Arabidopsis thaliana: one gene and its partners. The protein of the gene in region 1 purifies or fractionates together with the protein of each later gene. This does not show direct contact. Each region holds a gene or a part of one and is shown in the gene's direction. Other genes may lie near its edges. The genes, in order: NRPB5, AT4G36080, AT1G61700 and PAD2.

Evidence for each region.
Region 2: the proteins of NRPB5 (region 1) and AT4G36080 fractionate together in Arabidopsis thaliana (co-fractionation; one large-scale study listed by BioGRID). This does not show direct contact.
Region 3: the proteins of NRPB5 (region 1) and AT1G61700 fractionate together in Arabidopsis thaliana (co-fractionation; one large-scale study listed by BioGRID). This does not show direct contact.
Region 4: the proteins of NRPB5 (region 1) and PAD2 fractionate together in Arabidopsis thaliana (co-fractionation; one large-scale study listed by BioGRID). This does not show direct contact.

Annotation. Positions count from the first base shown.
Region 1 is NC_003074.8:7,890,284-7,894,363, reverse strand, and holds NRPB5 (Eukaryotic rpb5 RNA polymerase subunit family protein), read left to right. Parts: upstream 1-2,014; 5' UTR 2,015-2,142; intron 2,143-2,252; 5' UTR 2,253-2,269; coding exon 2,270-2,467; intron 2,468-2,718; coding exon 2,719-2,898; intron 2,899-2,989; coding exon 2,990-3,103; intron 3,104-3,193; coding exon 3,194-3,319; 3' UTR 3,320-3,561; downstream 3,562-4,080. Other genes in the region: PMH2 (putative mitochondrial RNA helicase 2), read right to left, coding at 1-214, 354-452, 593-1,004, 1,099-1,226, 1,331-1,723.
Region 2 is NC_003075.7:17,075,032-17,079,718, reverse strand, and holds the start of AT4G36080 (phosphotransferases/inositol or phosphatidylinositol kinase), read left to right. Parts: upstream 1-1,679; 5' UTR 1,680-2,090; coding exon 2,091-2,148; intron 2,149-2,354; coding exon 2,355-3,070; intron 3,071-3,216; coding exon 3,217-3,342; intron 3,343-3,442; coding exon 3,443-3,528; intron 3,529-3,702; coding exon 3,703-3,811; intron 3,812-4,304; coding exon 4,305-4,400; intron 4,401-4,530; coding exon 4,531-4,593; intron 4,594-4,677; coding exon 4,678-4,687. Other genes in the region: AT4G36090 (oxidoreductase, 2OG-Fe(II) oxygenase family protein), read left to right, coding at 1-86, 191-276, 363-673, 770-841, 1,007-1,343.
Region 3 is NC_003070.9:22,785,477-22,788,944, forward strand, and holds AT1G61700 (RNA polymerases N / 8 kDa subunit), read left to right. Parts: upstream 1-1,535; 5' UTR 1,536-1,628; coding exon 1,629-1,664; intron 1,665-1,784; coding exon 1,785-1,843; intron 1,844-2,424; coding exon 2,425-2,519; intron 2,520-2,610; coding exon 2,611-2,636; 3' UTR 2,637-2,904; downstream 2,905-3,468. Other genes in the region: AT1G61690 (phosphoinositide binding protein), read right to left, coding at 1-581, 669-837, 1,193-1,306; AT1G61710 (Cysteine/Histidine-rich C1 domain family protein), read right to left, coding at 3,383-3,468.
Region 4 is NC_003076.8:26,436,657-26,440,464, reverse strand, and holds PAD2 (proteasome alpha subunit D2), read left to right. Parts: upstream 1-1,693; 5' UTR 1,694-1,787; coding exon 1,788-1,960; intron 1,961-2,345; coding exon 2,346-2,760; intron 2,761-2,855; coding exon 2,856-3,020; 3' UTR 3,021-3,295; downstream 3,296-3,808. Other genes in the region: AT5G66150 (Glycosyl hydrolase family 38 protein), read left to right, coding at 1-114, 205-270, 378-490, 582-666, 741-995, 1,066-1,134, 1,225-1,452; ATRAD17 (RADIATION SENSITIVE 17), read right to left, coding at 3,374-3,571, 3,673-3,733. UniProt on the Arabidopsis thaliana protein: The proteasome is a multicatalytic proteinase complex which is characterized by its ability to cleave peptides with Arg, Phe, Tyr, Leu, and Glu adjacent to the leaving group at neutral or slightly basic pH.

The DNA of each region.
Region 1 (4,080 bases):
TAGGTACATCAAGTCCACGGGCAGCAACATCAGTCGCAACAAGAATATTGAAATGCCCATCTCGGAAACCAGCAAGCGTTCTTTCCCTCTGACTCTGGGATATATCACCGTGTAAAGCTTCACATTTGAAGCTTCTAGCCAATGCATATGAAAGGCGATCAGCATCTCGTTTTGTTTGTGTAAAAACAATGCATTTTCCTCCTTTGGCATGCTCCTGCAAGGAAAATTGATATTATTAACTCTTTCCATATACAACTGACAACTCCGAAAAAATACACAAATAACTTACTCAGTTACTGAATAACACAAAATTTAACTCATACTCGTTTAATAGCAAAGTAAGGAAAGCATACCGTTACAAGAGGACCAATAATGGATGCTCTTCCATAAGAATCTGCTATGATAGAATATGTCGTAATTCCATCTGCTAGTTTCTGATCAGAATCTCCAACCTGAATAACACATCACAGTTAGGCAAACAAAAACATAGAAGCACATTTCACATAAGAAATCACTTCATTAACAACTCTGCTAACTCCAAGATCAATTATTCAGAATTGTGAGAAATTTCAGAGGGTACAAGACTACTCACAAGATCAACTGTCAAAGGATTATTCAGGTACTTCTTAGTGAGAGATCTGATCCAACTCGGCATTGTTGCAGAAAACATCATACTCTGACGTTTCTCAGGCAACTTTTCCAATATTATTTCAACATCCTCAGCAAATCCAACTTGAAGCATCTGATCAGCTTCATCCAGAACCACAAACTGAACTTCCGATAGATTCAAAGCTCCTCTCTTCATCAGATCAATGACACGACCTGGAGTTCCAACCGCCACATCAACACCATAGTCAAGCTGCCTCATTTGCTGTCCAATCGGTGTACCTCCATAAAGACAAATAGTATCCAAGCTCGGAGCAGACTCCCTAAACTCCTTCTCAACCTGGCGAGCAAGCTCTCTTGTCGGTGCCAAAACCAAACAAAGCGGATTCCTCCCTCGTCTATCACATCAAAAACCACATAAAACCCCAAAAATCAGTAAACCAACCAGAAAACATAATTCTCTGAACCTCAAATGACTCAGTAAACACAAACCCATGTTTAGCGTTGTATTTGATGATTTTGTCAATGATAGGAATCCCAAAAGCAAGTGTCTTTCCCGTTCCAGTCCTAGCACGACCAATCATATCTCGACCCTCCATCGCTGGCTCCAGCACAGCTTTCTACTCAAAACCACAAAACTTAAAACCCACTTACCCTTCTTCCAAAAACATGGGAACACGAAAAGCTGAACAATTTAAAATTTTGATCTCACAACATTACATACCTGAATAGGAAAGAGTTTCTCAATACCCTTACTACTCAAAGCTTTAACAATCTCCGGAGATATCCCAAGCTCAGATATCGCAAGCCCATCACCACCAACACTCTCCGAATCACCAACCCTTCTCTCGCTACTCTCAGAGATCGCAAATCCAGCTTGAGAAACCATCGAAGCTCTAAAATCCAACGGCCCAGATTGAAAATGAATTCCTTTCGCTTCAACACCAAACGGAAACCCAGCTTTGACATCGGAAGATCCAATTAAGGCTAGGTCGGAGACTCTAGTGGCGGCTGGGGCCAGGTTGTGAAACAGAACAGTATTGATTGAGGTCAACGAAGCGGAGAGATTCCTCTTCGACGCATCAAGGAGAGATCGTCGTAGCACTGTAGTGATCATTTTCAGATTCAGGTGTTCTCTTGATAAGGAAAATGTAAAACCCCAAAATTTGGAGAATTAGGGATTTAGAGAGATGAAGAAAGAAGGCAAAGGGTTTTAGTTCCAACAAGAACAGTGTAATAAGTTGAGAAAAATCAACTAAAGGGTTTAAGTATGTTGGGTCGTACAAGCCCATTGGGCCTTTATCAGGCTATTAAGGATTGGAGTTTAAATATCGAAAATAAAGTTGAGGGTTAAAACATAAAGTCGGTATAAATTGGGAGTTTCAAATGCAATAAAAGCTTCAATATAATAGAATTGAGAAAAGGGTTCGAGGTAAAAGGAGAAAGCTTGAAACGCCGCTTCTTCTTCTTCTTCTTCCACTGTCGTTCTCTCTGTAAATCGCTTCTTCAATCATCTCTGTGGATTTGTCTCTATTCGTAAGTTTTCGTATCTGTGTATATATTCTCAAAGAGATTGATAAACTCTTAATTGTTTCTGTCAATTTTTGAAAAACCCTAATTTTGATATGGTTTTGGTAAAGCTGCAGATAACTTGGTGAAGAAGATGTTGACGGAAGAGGAGCTCAAAAGATTGTACAGAATCCAGAAGACGTTGATGCAGATGTTAAGGGATCGTGGATATTTTATCGCGGATTCTGAACTTACGATGACTAAACAACAGTTTATTAGGAAACATGGTGATAACATGAAAAGAGAGGATCTTGTTACTCTTAAGGCTAAGCGAAATGATAATAGTGATCAGGTTTGTAGTTGTATGTCTCTCCTTCAATGTGATTATCAGCTTCTCTTTAGTGTTCTTTAGCTGGAGACTATCATTATTTATCTAGTTGTTGAATGTGAATAGTAAGTAGACATGGAATGTTACAGAGAGCTAGATTTTGACAAAAGTATAGATAAATGTCATCTCTTTAATCTCTAAGAAGCTGTGGATATGGTAGAAAGATTGTTTATGTGTGTTTGATTTAGTCGCTGATTCATGTGCTCTTGTTGTAGCTCTATATATTCTTCCCTGATGAGGCGAAAGTTGGTGTGAAGACGATGAAAATGTACACGAACAGGATGAAATCAGAGAATGTGTTCAGAGCTATTTTGGTTGTGCAACAGAACTTGACCCCGTTTGCTCGAACTTGCATTAGTGAGATCTCTTCTAAGTTTCATCTGGAAGTTTTCCAGGTAAAACAAATCACTTTGTGTCTTGACTCTTGATGATGATGTATCCACATCACAATCCTACTAAACCATGATTTGGTGGTGGATGCTGCAGGAGGCGGAAATGCTAGTGAACATTAAAGAACATGTTCTTGTTCCTGAGCATCAAGTTCTTACCACTGAAGAGAAGAAAACTTTACTGGAGAGATACACAGTGAAGGAGACACAGGTTAGTAGTATATAGAAACTTTGTTTGAATTCTTGGTGATGAAATTTTTGTTGTGTTATTAAATGTTTGGAACTTTGTGGGTGTTGTTAGCTTCCAAGGATCCAAGTGACTGATCCAATCGCAAGATACTTTGGACTAAAACGTGGGCAAGTCGTGAAGATCATTCGTCCGAGTGAAACGGCTGGTCGTTATGTTACCTATCGTTATGTTGTATAAGCCAAAGCAAAAGGCTTTTGTGGATTGTAATGCGAATTGAACGCTGAGAGTTGTGAAACATAAGAGTAATGCTTTTGTACTAAACCAAACTGATGACTGTGTTTTATTTTTGTTTGTCCGATAGGAGAAATTAAAGCTTGAAACAACTTATTTGTATTAGTTTTCTATCCAAAAACTTGCAAGATCCGATTCCGACTTGTTTGTATTTGTTCATCCCAACAAATGCCATATTTTGTTAATAATCTGATTCATCACTTGTTTGTCGATAATCCCCATTCCTTAACACCCTAAAAAGAAAAAAATCGTAAATATCAATTTTTAAAATGTTCAAAACTGATACTTCTTCCAGAGTATTACTGACTTCAGATCAGCTGTGGATGAGTGTTGACGGTTGTACAGGCGCCGTTCTTGAGTTTTTTTCAAAATGTCTCCAAATGGAGAAGCTGGGGGATGGTGTTGAGATGGCTACCATTGATTTGCATGCCCTTGTGGGTGGTGTTGACTGTTTTACTCATCTCAATGATTCTTATACCACCACCTGAACGCCTTTCAACGTTTATGGGATCTCAGCTTTGTAACCCTCAGAATCACCAAGTATGTGTACAAGAACCCGTTCTTGGGCCTATAAGACTGGATGAAACTAAATCTGGATTCACTGCAAAGGGGATCACACCCAAGGAGCTTGGTATTATTATGCTAGCTATGCAGAGCCAAGCCTTTTCGTTCAGCAGCTAGTTGCATGCTCTTGCTATGCAGTGCAT
Region 2 (4,687 bases), on another chromosome or scaffold:
CGGTGTTTTTAGCGCGGTGGAGCAGAAAAAGATTGTTGATTTTGTCTATGAACTACAAGAGAAAGGCCGTAGAGGAGAATTGCGAGGTTTGCTTCTGGTTTTCTTTCATTGCTTTTTGCATAATGTGAATTTGAAAACTCTAAACGGTACTTATCTAATCTTGAATTTTTGGTTCTTTTTCGATATCTAGAGCGTACTTTTACCGCTCCGCATAAGTGGATGAGAGGCAAAGGACGAGTTACTATTCAATTCGGATGTTGTTATAACTATGCACCGGTAAGTGACTCTTTCCTCATCTTTAAAAATGAAAACATTTTATCAACTATAGTGAATATGGAAAGAGTTTTTTGTTTTTTGGATAGGACAAAGCGGGAAACCCACCCGGAATCCTTCAACGTGGAGATGTTGATCCAATGCCATCTATTTTCAAAGTAATAATCAAAAGGTTGGTTGGGTGGCATGTACTTCCTCCAACTTGTGTACCGGATAGTTGTATCGTCAATATCTATGAGGAAGACGATTGCATACCTCCTCACATCGATAACCATGACTTCCTCCGCCCTTTCTGCACAGTATCATTCCTCAGTGAATGCAATATACTCTTTGGTTCAAATCTCAAAGTCTTAGGACCTGGTGAATTCTCCGGTTCTTACTCTATACCGCTTCCTGTCGGGTAAATCACTAAAGTTTGCGTACCCTCTCTGAGTTTATTCTACTGAAGCTTCTGTTGCTTAACTTTTTGACGAGTTTTTCACTTTTTTTGCTTCAGATCAGTTCTAGTGCTCAAGGGTAATGGAGCTGATGTCGCTAAGCATTGTGTACCTGCCGTTCCCACAAAGAGGTAATTTGTTAGCACCTTGATTGTTTGTCAACGTTTATTTATATGTTTGGTAATGAAACCATTACTCTCTCTTTTTACAAAAGGATTTGGTGTTTTGCAATTTATCGGTGTTATCTCGTTTTGTTTTGTTCATACTGTTTTTGCTATCGTCGGTTCTGCTTTCAGGATATCGATCACGTTTAGGAAAATGGACGAGTCGAAAAGACCAGTCGGATTCACCCCGGAACCTGATTTGGAGGAGATTAAGCCGTTGCCATACGAACACACCACGCCGAGTACTCCTGCTGATGCAGTCATTAGCTCTTCAAGATCCAGCATTGATCAAAATGGTAGTAATCACAACAATCGAACTGCACATGGAGGAGGAAGCAAGTATCGTAGGTCGAGAGATTATCATTCTGAGAGTCGAGAGCGGTCATCATCGGGCCAACGAAGAGAAACTTCACGACATACTCCTAATAGGTCCTATAGACCCAAGGTTACTAGCTCCGACAACGTCTGAGAATTTGTAACACGAACATAATATTTGATTTTACCACAGAACAAATTATAGAAATTGCTTCTAATAATTCTTTTCGTTTTGACCGAATTTTTTACGATAATTTCAACTATATGGTTGAATAGACGAAAATATCATCCAATTGGTTTCTTCTGAAAGAAAAAAAAAATGGCGTGAAAGATTTCTCTCTTTTTTTCTGTAAACTTTCATTCTCCGTGTAAAACTTGTTCGATGATTATAAAAAACGAACACAACTATATTATCAGTGTTAATTACATTTCCTTAACCATAAGATTTTGTTTTCTTCGCATTTCTGAAATTTGAGGGAACAATGGGGACTTTTTATATAAAAAAAGTTGGGACCTTTATATATAACTCGGCTGCTGAATTTCGTTTCGTTGCACTGCTACGCTCGAGTTCTCAAAGGTTCTCCTCGCTTTCTCTTTTCAGGGGAGTCTCGCAGAGAGACCCACACCAAAAAAAAAAATCGAGAGGGAAAATTCATCATCTTCCATCGTTAACCTCGAGGCTATTGGTGTTATACCAGATAACCGACTCTTATTAAATTAGCTTAATTTGATAAACCCTTGTTAGTGTCTGACCTAGTGGAGCACCTTGGGCTTAGCGTTAGGGATCGTCGCGGTTTGGGTTTTAGAAAGGAGGAGGAGGAAGCAACGTTTACTATTCCTACTATGTGACGGAACCCTAAGACAGCGTTTTCGCTTGTCTGGGTCAGCTTTTTTTATAGCCATGAGTCCAATTCAGAATTTTGAGCAACACTCTCGTCGTCTCGTGGAGCCTGACCTACGTAATACCACTCATTCTCTGCTCTTTCTCTTCATTTCGTCGTTGGGTTGTTTGTTTGTTGCTCAGAATTAGTTTCTTTGATTTTGGATTTGAAAATTTCTTCAAGCTTTGATTTTGTCTGAGGAATTTTTGTTTGATTTTGAGTCAGTTCAAGTTAATTTAAAAATGTAGCGACACTTACTCGAAGCTTGTTTTTGTGTTCTATAGCTATTGAGGAGAGGCTTGCGATGGTGGTGGAGGTCAGGGACAGTCTAGAGATCACACATACGGCTGAGTACTTGAATTTTCTGAAATGTTACTTCCGGGCATCTTCAGTGATTCTTCTTCAGATTACAAAGCCTCAATTTACTGATAATATTGAGCACAAACTACGCAACATTGTGGTTGAGATCCTCAATCGTCTACCACATAGCGAGGTTCTTCGTCCTTTTGTGCAAGACCTCTTGAAAGTTGCAATGCAGGTGCTCACGACAGATAATGAAGAAAATGGGTTAATATGCATTCGCATCATCTTTGATCTTCTTAGGAACTTTAGGCCAACATTAGAAAATGAGGTTCAACCATTCTTGGATTTTGTCTGCAAAATATACCAGAACTTCAGATTGACGGTTAGCCATTTTTTCGAGAATGTCAAAATGGAAGAAGTGAAACCTGTGGAGATACCTACACCATCTGATCAGTCGCTGTCCATTACTGCACCTTCCAGGAATGGGCAGATCAACCCAAGTACTCGTTCATTCAAAATAGTCACAGAGAGCCCCCTCGTCGTTATGTTTCTTTTTCAGCTGTATAGCAGACTTGTTCAGATTAATATTCCTAATTTGTTACCCCTGATGGTTGCTGCTATATCTATTCCTGGACCTGAGAAAGTTTCTTCACATATGAAGCCTCAGTTCATCGAACTGAAGGGTGCTCAGGTTAAGGTGAGACAATGGCTCTCTATCCAGAAGGAAACCATAACTTATTTGGGCAGTGAGAAAAATATTTAATTAAGGCCTACACTGCCTTGTTGTTTCACCTGAATTATTTTGTTTTTTAAGGGATATTGACTTGTAGTGTTTGTTTGCAGACCGTTTCCTTTTTGACTTATTTGTTAAAAAGTTGTGCCGAATATATCAAGCCGCATGAAGAAAGCATTTGTAAGAGCATTGTAAATTTGCTTGTCACCTGTTCGGATTCTGCATCTATCAGAAAGGTGGAGAACTGTCTGTTCCTTTTTCTTCTTTATGTTTTCACCTTGTAATACAGTCATGGGCTTGCAAGTAAAGAATATTTTTTTGGTCTATGAAATGCAGGAACTATTAGTCTCACTAAAGCATGTACTTGGGACGGATTTCAAGAGAGGTTTATTTCCTCTTATTGACACTCTTTTGGAAGAGAGGTATAATGTGCCTTTTTTGCCTTTCTGAATTCTTAAACTTGTACACCTGTCAGGAAGCTGTTTTGTTTTATCAAGTAGACCTTCTACTGTTCTGTATAATTTCACTGTGCCGCAGTATAATATATTAACAAATAATGACTTATGTCATCTATTTGCTATTTTTTTCTGTGTCAGGGTTCTAGTTGGAACGGGGCGAGCATGCTTTGAGTCTTTGAGACCTCTGGCTTACAGCCTACTGGCCGAGATTGTTCACCATGTTCGAGCAGATTTGTCCCTTTCTCAGGTGCTTCCCGTTGTGTCTGTGCAATTTATTTCTTACTTTACCTTATCTTTGTTTTTGTTTTTATTTGTTAGTCCTCTCTTCCTAGATTAGCTCTTCTTAGTTGAGAGAGTTAAGTTCTGGAAACTTTGCAAAACATTGGATTCTATAGTAGGTGAGACTAATGTGTTCCAGTACACACAGTTCTTGCTATGTATATGTGGTTGTGTATTAAAATAGATCCTCATCTTAACAGTCTTATCAATTGTGATCAGAAAGTGCTCACACTTGGGAAATATGTTCCTTGCTTATAGACTTGAAACCTAGGGCCTCCCAAAAAATTCTGACAGATCGAGATGCCAATAAACAACTAATCTTAGGAACAACATATTGGTCAATCTTTCTTGCCAACATCAATCAGGCTTCTCTCTTTTAGATCTTTTCCCATTCCATTGTCTACTCTATGGGTGATTTTTCTTTTACAATTCATCTTATTTGACTGTAAACAACGTGGCAGTTATCGCGGATCATCTACTTATTTTCAAGGAACATGCATGACTCGACCCTCTCTCTTAACATCCATACAACTTGTGCGCGTCTGATGTTAAATCTGGTAAACCTATTTTTTTCATCTAGTTTGCCTTATTTAAATTCGATATATTACTTAACATTTATGTGACATAATCTCTCCATTATGTTTGAATCAAGATTTTAGTATAACTTAATACTTATATTGGGTTCAGGTAGAACCGATATTTGAGAAAGGCATTGATCAGCAGTCAATGGATGAAGCGCGAATATTGTTGGTATAACTTTACACCTGAGAGCTCATATTAGAATCGGTTGGCTGCTCTAATCATTAACTTACTTTACTCATCATCTGTTTATAGGGACGTATCT
Region 3 (3,468 bases), on another chromosome or scaffold:
CTTGTCAATACCCCCAGTCTTCTGAGGATTAGCACTTCGCGGAATTTCACGGAGAAGAGACGAAAATTCGCCCTCCAAACTTATAGTTGCTGGTTTCTTATCTTCATCGTCAGACCACCCAAGCTCCCTCAGGTCAGCTGCCAAATCATCATTTCCTTTACCCCCTTGACGTAGAGGCTTTTGTGATTTGCTAGATTCTTTGGTAGCAGCCTTGTTCTGCGTCTCAGCAACATTTCGCATAGACAGTTCCCTTTTCCGGTTCCTTCTTAAAGATATCTCTAATGCGTCGGCCTCTCTCTCAAGTTCCCTCCCTCTCTTAAATGCTTTTAGAGCTTCATCAGATTTCCCTTCTCCTTTAAGAATTCTGTACTTATTCTTCGCTTCTACTGCTTGTTTACGCAATTCTTCAGGACTAGCATCCAACTCCATACCTTTATTACTACTGCTACTTGCCATTTCTTTAGAAGCATTCCTGTCTGTGCTAGACACAGATTCAGATGAAGAAGATACATCAACATCAGAGCCTAGAATCTCACTGAGAACATCATCCTCATTCTTTACAGTCCTTTTCGAGCTACCTCCTGAACAAATTCACAATCTCTTTACATCAAAAACTAGCAGATAACACAAAAGTGTCATAAATAAGATCACTATAGGTACATAAATACCTTTAGCAGCTCTATTTTTGTAACCATGACGCAACTCAAACCGTGCAGCTTCTTCAATTTTCTTACATGGTTCACATATACGCACAGGTGAGTCACCTTGTCCACGTAGTGACAACCTTTGCTGAGTGCAGGTTCCACAGAACAATCCCCCACATCTCCGGCAATGATGCTGCTCGCTCAAAAAAACAAAGCCAACAGAAACTAAGAAAAATTAAGCAAATTCAAAGGTTTTTGGGAGACATAGAAGAATCCAGCAAGTCACAAGTCTAGTAATACACAAACCACAAAACATCCAGATTCACCAAATTTACTCAAAAATATGGAATCTATCAAATAGGCACATCACCAGAAACCGATCATTCAGTGAAGTTTTCCGATAAACAGATTCTGAATTAGATCTCGAAGAAGAATCGACTAAGACGAAACTAAATTTCGATCGAAGAAACTAAGAATCTAAAGATCGCGATAGCAATAAGCAAGTACCAATTGATAGAGAGAGTAAGGAAATTAAGAGAGAGGAAGACCTTGCGATTGATGAAAGTGAATTGAGAAGAACATCCTTGACAATGAGAAGCATCAACGACCCAACTATTTCCTCTTAGAGATGGCTTCGGCGGTAATCCGATCTTCTCCAACATTTTCCCGTCTGATTCTTCTTCTCCTCCGCCGCGAAACGAACTTGGTTTTGATTTTGATCTTACCGGAAATGTAAAAGATCGAGCAGATGAAGAAGAAGAAGAAGAAGAATACTTTTCCTCCTCTATTGTCAGATATAAAATAAATAATTTTAACTAATACGGTATCGTTTTAGCTAAAACACATAATAGGACTCAATATATAAAGCAATAATAATTAGACATGAAACTAATTTTTGCTTTGAGACGAGAACGAAGTTAGAAAGAGACAAGCCCTAAAGATCGCTTTGAGACGATAAACTCTTAAAGTTTCGATTCGTTCACGATGATCGTCCCTGTTCGTTGTTTTACTTGTGGAAAGGTTTGTTTTTTCTTCTCTCTTTTTGTACGATTTCGATTTGTTATATATATATGTGTGTGACAAATCTCTAGGGTTTGTAGTATTGAGATTTATGAAGCTTTTGTTTATGATTTTTTGTAGGTGATTGGGAACAAATGGGACACATACCTTGAACTTCTCCAGGCTGATTACGCTGAAGGGTAAGCGATATATAGTTTATGATTAGAAAAAGAATCATAATTTGTGAGAAATTTTTTTGGTGAACATGAGAGTGATTGAATCTTGGAATTTTGAACGTTTTCTGACATTTTCTTAGTTGAAATGAGAGTCATGTAAAAGATGAAACAATAGTGGAACATGACAATAGAATGATTTGATGGTTTTGTGTAGTCAAAGAGATTGCATGATCTTGTCTTGTATGATCATCTTGAAAGTTTATACATGTTTTAGCCTTGTTACTAAAAGCATGAAGTTAGATCATTGGGATTTTTCGATTTTCTTGTTTTAATCGCTAGTGTAATCTTTAGCCCGTTTGGTTCTAGGTGTTAAGCTACATGATTTGGAATTGCGCAATTTCGTTTTTGTTTTAGTTGCAATTTGATCATCTTGAAGTTCATAGATGTTATCTTAAGTGTTAGTAAAGAGCATGATGGTAGGTGATCACTGATATATTCCATTCTCTTGTTTCTATCTAATCTTTTAGCTACTTTGGTTTTAGGCATTATGCTAAAATTGCATTTTGTTGAACTGAAAATCTGAATTTTGGTTTTGGAATACGCAGGGATGCTCTTGACGCGCTTGGATTAGTCCGTTACTGCTGCAGGCGTATGCTTATGACTCATGTCGATCTAATCGAAAAGCTTCTAAACTACAACAGTAATATCTCCATACCCGGTTCTTTTGCCTTGTGTTGCCTCTGCTCTATTCTTTTTGTTAACTTGCTTATTCGAATACTTCTCTTTTGCAGCTATGGAGAAATCCGACCCCAATTAAAAAAAGATGCTATAATGAATAACAAATCATCAAGAGCTGAAGTGAAGGAGTGATGCATCTCATCCATGTGGGCGTCTTAATAAAACCACAATGTTTCAGAAATTTTGGTTTAATTTATAACTAGGAATGTTGATATTTCAATGTTTTCTGATGTTCTTGTTCGGTTTTAGAAATCTAGACAATTTTTCGAGCCAAAAATAAAGCTCAAGCCTGTAGAGTCATCATCTATTGATTTGTTTTTGGTAATCTAATCCTGATAAATAGTAAAGATCACACATTTGATAAGGTTCAAATCTACAATCTAGATCACGAGTAGGAAGCAGCTCTTTTTGTACGATATCAAATTGGTAATGAGAACAGAGCACATAAAAACAATTTGAATGGAGCTCCCATTTTATAACCGGAGAATATCAAAGTTTTTTAGTTACAAGTGGTTGTATTAATTCAAGGAAACCATTTAACAAAAGAAATATAAATATTTATATTAAATATACACTATAATTAGTTGAATATATATTTATTTTGGATCAAATGTTTATTAAGATATATTTTTATTATAAAAATTTATTCTGAAATATGTTTATTGAACAATATACTGAACTTAACAAACCAAGGAGACTTTTTTTATTTTATTTTTTTTCAAACACAAACCAAGGAGACAAATATGAAGAAAACAAATTACATTTGAATAGAGAGGTAGAGCTATATAACTCACTGAATGCTTGGAAATATTGTCTATTAGTCTATTACAGATTAAGATTTTCTAAAAGAATTTGAGCCCGCTGAACCCAGAATTTGAGAGTTTGGCTTAGACTCAAATTCGAGTTTTTAC
Region 4 (3,808 bases), on another chromosome or scaffold:
TCTGTTGGTAAGGGACATCTAACAGGAAAAGAGATTATCACGCGAATGGTAACAGATATGACTACAGCTAAGGAGTTCTATACTGACTCTAATGGAAGAGACTTTCTGAAACGGGTACCCTAAGATTTTTCTGTGTTCTCGTATTTTAAACACCAATGAGATCGTATTGCCCGGTTTCAACAAATAGATTAAACTCTATTGCAGGTCCGGGACAACCGAACAGACTGGCATCTCGAAGTGAATGAGCCAATAGCAGGAAACTACTATCCGGTAAACTATTTGATGTCCAGCAGAAATTGCAAAACCAAGAAAAATTTGGACTATATCGATTGTGAATGGCTTTACAGTTCTAACGCATTGTTAGTGTATCTTTTCAGCTTAATCTTGGAATGTACATAAAAGACGAGAAAGCAGAGTTGTCGGTGTTGGTTGATCGGGCTACTGGGGGTGCAAGTATTAAGGACGGTGAAATAGAGTTGATGCTTCACAGGTTCCAAATTTCATTAGTGTCATTAGTCTGTATTTTTAAAACATGAAACATTATTGTGTAGTTGACACTGATGAAACATCCATGGGAACAGGAGAACGTCCATGGATGACTCGAGAGGAGTGGAGGAGAGCCTTGTAGAAACTGTGTGTGTGAATGACACCTGCGCAGGATTGACGGTATGAATGATTAATTGAGAAATTGTGTGTGTTTTGTCCAGGACAAAACTTGATACATACTTGTGTAAATGCAGATTCGTGGGAATTACTATGTAAGCATAAATAAGGTAGGAGAAGGAGGGCGGTGGAGACGAGAGACTGGACAGGAAATATACTCACCTCTTCTAATGGCATTCGCACACGAGAACAAGGAGAAATGGAAAGCCTCAAATACTGTGAAAGGTTATGCCATGGATCATCTCTACACCTTGCCTCAAAACATTGCTCTCATCACTCTTGAGGAGTTGGATCTCGGGAACGTCCTTCTTCGCCTGGCTCATCTCTACGAGGTACGTACAGTTAGATGTTCTTGAATTGGGATATACCTGACAGTAATTGAGTGTTGAGCGTTGTTTACAGGCGGGAGAAGACAGTGATTACTCTAAAATCGCTAAAGTTGAGTTGAAGAAGTTGTTTTCCGGCAAAATGGTAAGAAACACACTTGCTCATCTACATGTGGAGAGATACTCTAACATACTAGCTAGCTAGGTGGTGAATGAATCCATACTATTTTTGCAGATCAAAGAAGTGACGGAAATGAGTTTGTCAGCAAATCAAGAGAAAGTAAAGATGAAGGAGAAGATGAAGTGGAAAGTGGAGGGTGAAGCGGAACAACCTTCTTCCCCGCTAAGAGGCGGACCCGTTGACAAGTCGACTTTAGTAGTAGAGCTTGGTCCCATGGAGATTCGTACATTTGTGGTTCAGTTTTATCAGAAACAACGAAGAAGAAAGTTGTTTGTGGGATGATTGCGCCAATATGTTTGTACAATGTTTTAAATCATTCATTCATCAACGGTTTGGTTAGTTAGAAAGCGCGGGAGGAAGGTTCATGTATTTTTTAATCGACCATTATACTGTGTTAATGGGCCTGTTATGGAAGTTTTGGGTATATAAGGCCCATTTAAAGGAAATGATGAGTGCGCGATTTGTCTCTCTTCTCAAAAACTTGAAGATCTGAGTAGAGTATTTCCTTCTTCTTTTTTTTTTTTTTTTTTCTGTTCTTGGCTTGTCGCAGAAGTTGGGATTCGTCTTTTTATAATTTGCCCTGAAAACGAAAACGAAAATAAAAAGCGGAGAGAGAGATGGCTAGATACGATCGAGCAATTACTGTCTTCTCCCCCGACGGTCACCTCTTTCAAGTCGAATACGCCCTTGAAGCCGTCCGCAAGGGTAACGCCGCCGTCGGTGTCCGCGGTACCGACACCGTTGTCCTCGCCGTCGAGAAGAAGTCCACCCCCAAGCTTCAGGATTCTAGGTTTTATTTCCATCTCTTCACTTTTATCATGGCACCAATTAACAGACTTGCCCTCTCTACTTATTGGATCCTGCTTGGTTTACTCTCAGTTGCTAGTTGACTGAACAATGTTGATACGACTGCTTTATTTTGGTCTTGTTCCCTATTTAATGGAATCTGCAGCTGAAACCCTTGTTTAAAATTGAACCTTGTTCCTAATTGCGATTGTCTCAGTTGTTACTCTTTTCTAACATGTATGATGGCTTTGGCCCTTCCCTGAAAAGAAATCTACTTAATTGTTCAATTCTCTTATACTGCTGCCTAACCAATATATTTTGGAGAGGTATTTGTGTTTCTCTATCTAGTTTGTTAGATGAAGCTGATGTCCTGTGCTTGTTTCTGACAGATCAGCCAGAAAAATTGTGAGCCTTGACAATCACATTGCCTTGGCATGCGCGGGGCTCAAGGCTGATGCCCGAGTCTTGATTAACAAAGCAAGGATCGAGTGTCAAAGCCACAGGCTTACACTTGAGGACCCTGTCACTGTTGAGTACATCACTCGCTACATTGCTGGCCTTCAACAGAAGTATACCCAAAGTGGTGGTGTCAGACCCTTCGGTCTTTCTACTCTTATCGTTGGCTTTGACCCTTACTCTCGCCTCCCTTCCCTATATCAGACTGATCCTTCTGGGACTTTCTCTGCTTGGAAAGCTAATGCTACCGGCAGAAACTCCAACTCTATTAGGGAATTCCTCGAGAAGAACTACAAAGAATCCTCTGGCCAAGAAACTATTAAACTCGCTATCCGTGCTCTGCTTGAGGTTGGTGCCCTCTCCGTCCTAGCTGATATTTTGTTATTTCAGGATTTTTTGTCCTTTGAGATCATAGCTGTTTTGATATCGGCTTTGCATTGCAGGTAGTTGAGAGTGGCGGAAAGAACATTGAGGTTGCCGTAATGACACGGGAGGAAACTGGGCTGCGCCAGCTAGAAGAAGCTGAAATTGATGCAATCGTGGCCAAGATCGAAGCTGAAAAGGCGGCCGCAGAAGCAGCCAAGAAAGGCCCTCCAAAGGAAACTTGATAAAACAATAACTGTTTCTGTTTCTCAATCTGAACTTACCTTCTTCGCTGCTTCTGTTTCTCAATCTTGTTTTGACTCGAGCCAACTCTTTGGCAAAAGAAGAACCTGACCCCATCGTTTTGTTAACTTGAAAATGCTCCAAAAAAAAACTGAAGAAAGGGTTTAAAATTCGCTTGATCTTGATCAAACCAAGGATAAATTTGCTGTTGCTCATTGTTAGATAGAGAAGTGACTCTCCATTTTCTATTTATAAGTAAGCAGAACAATTAGTGTTCCTTCCCTTGATGTTAAGTTGTTAACTATCATACCAGTTCTATCTGACCTAACATATAAGACACTTAAGATGGTGAATGTCACCAGTCTTGTATTTCATCATCTTCAGAAATATCACTGTCCTCCTCATCTGTCTCTTCGCCCATTCCCGGAAACGCATCTGGAGATGCCCTGTAGCTAAGCCATTTCAGCACGGGGCTATACTCTGTGGCCATCACTGATATATCTGCCACTCTTGACCCCTCATAGCTTATGTTCCTCTGCTCTCTCAGATTCTTCTGCATTCACACATCAAATTTGTAAGCATATACAGGTTTGATATGTATTGGACATGTATAATTAGTTTCTATTCCTGAAAAAAAAAGGGAAAGACCCTGACCTTTGTTTGTATTGAGGATTGCTCCACTTGCCAGAGTTTTGGCTTCCGAATCACGTGCCATCTGCATAATCACAATACAGATCAATCGATAATATTATTTTCAAACAAATAAACTATAATACAGTCAGCTGGTATC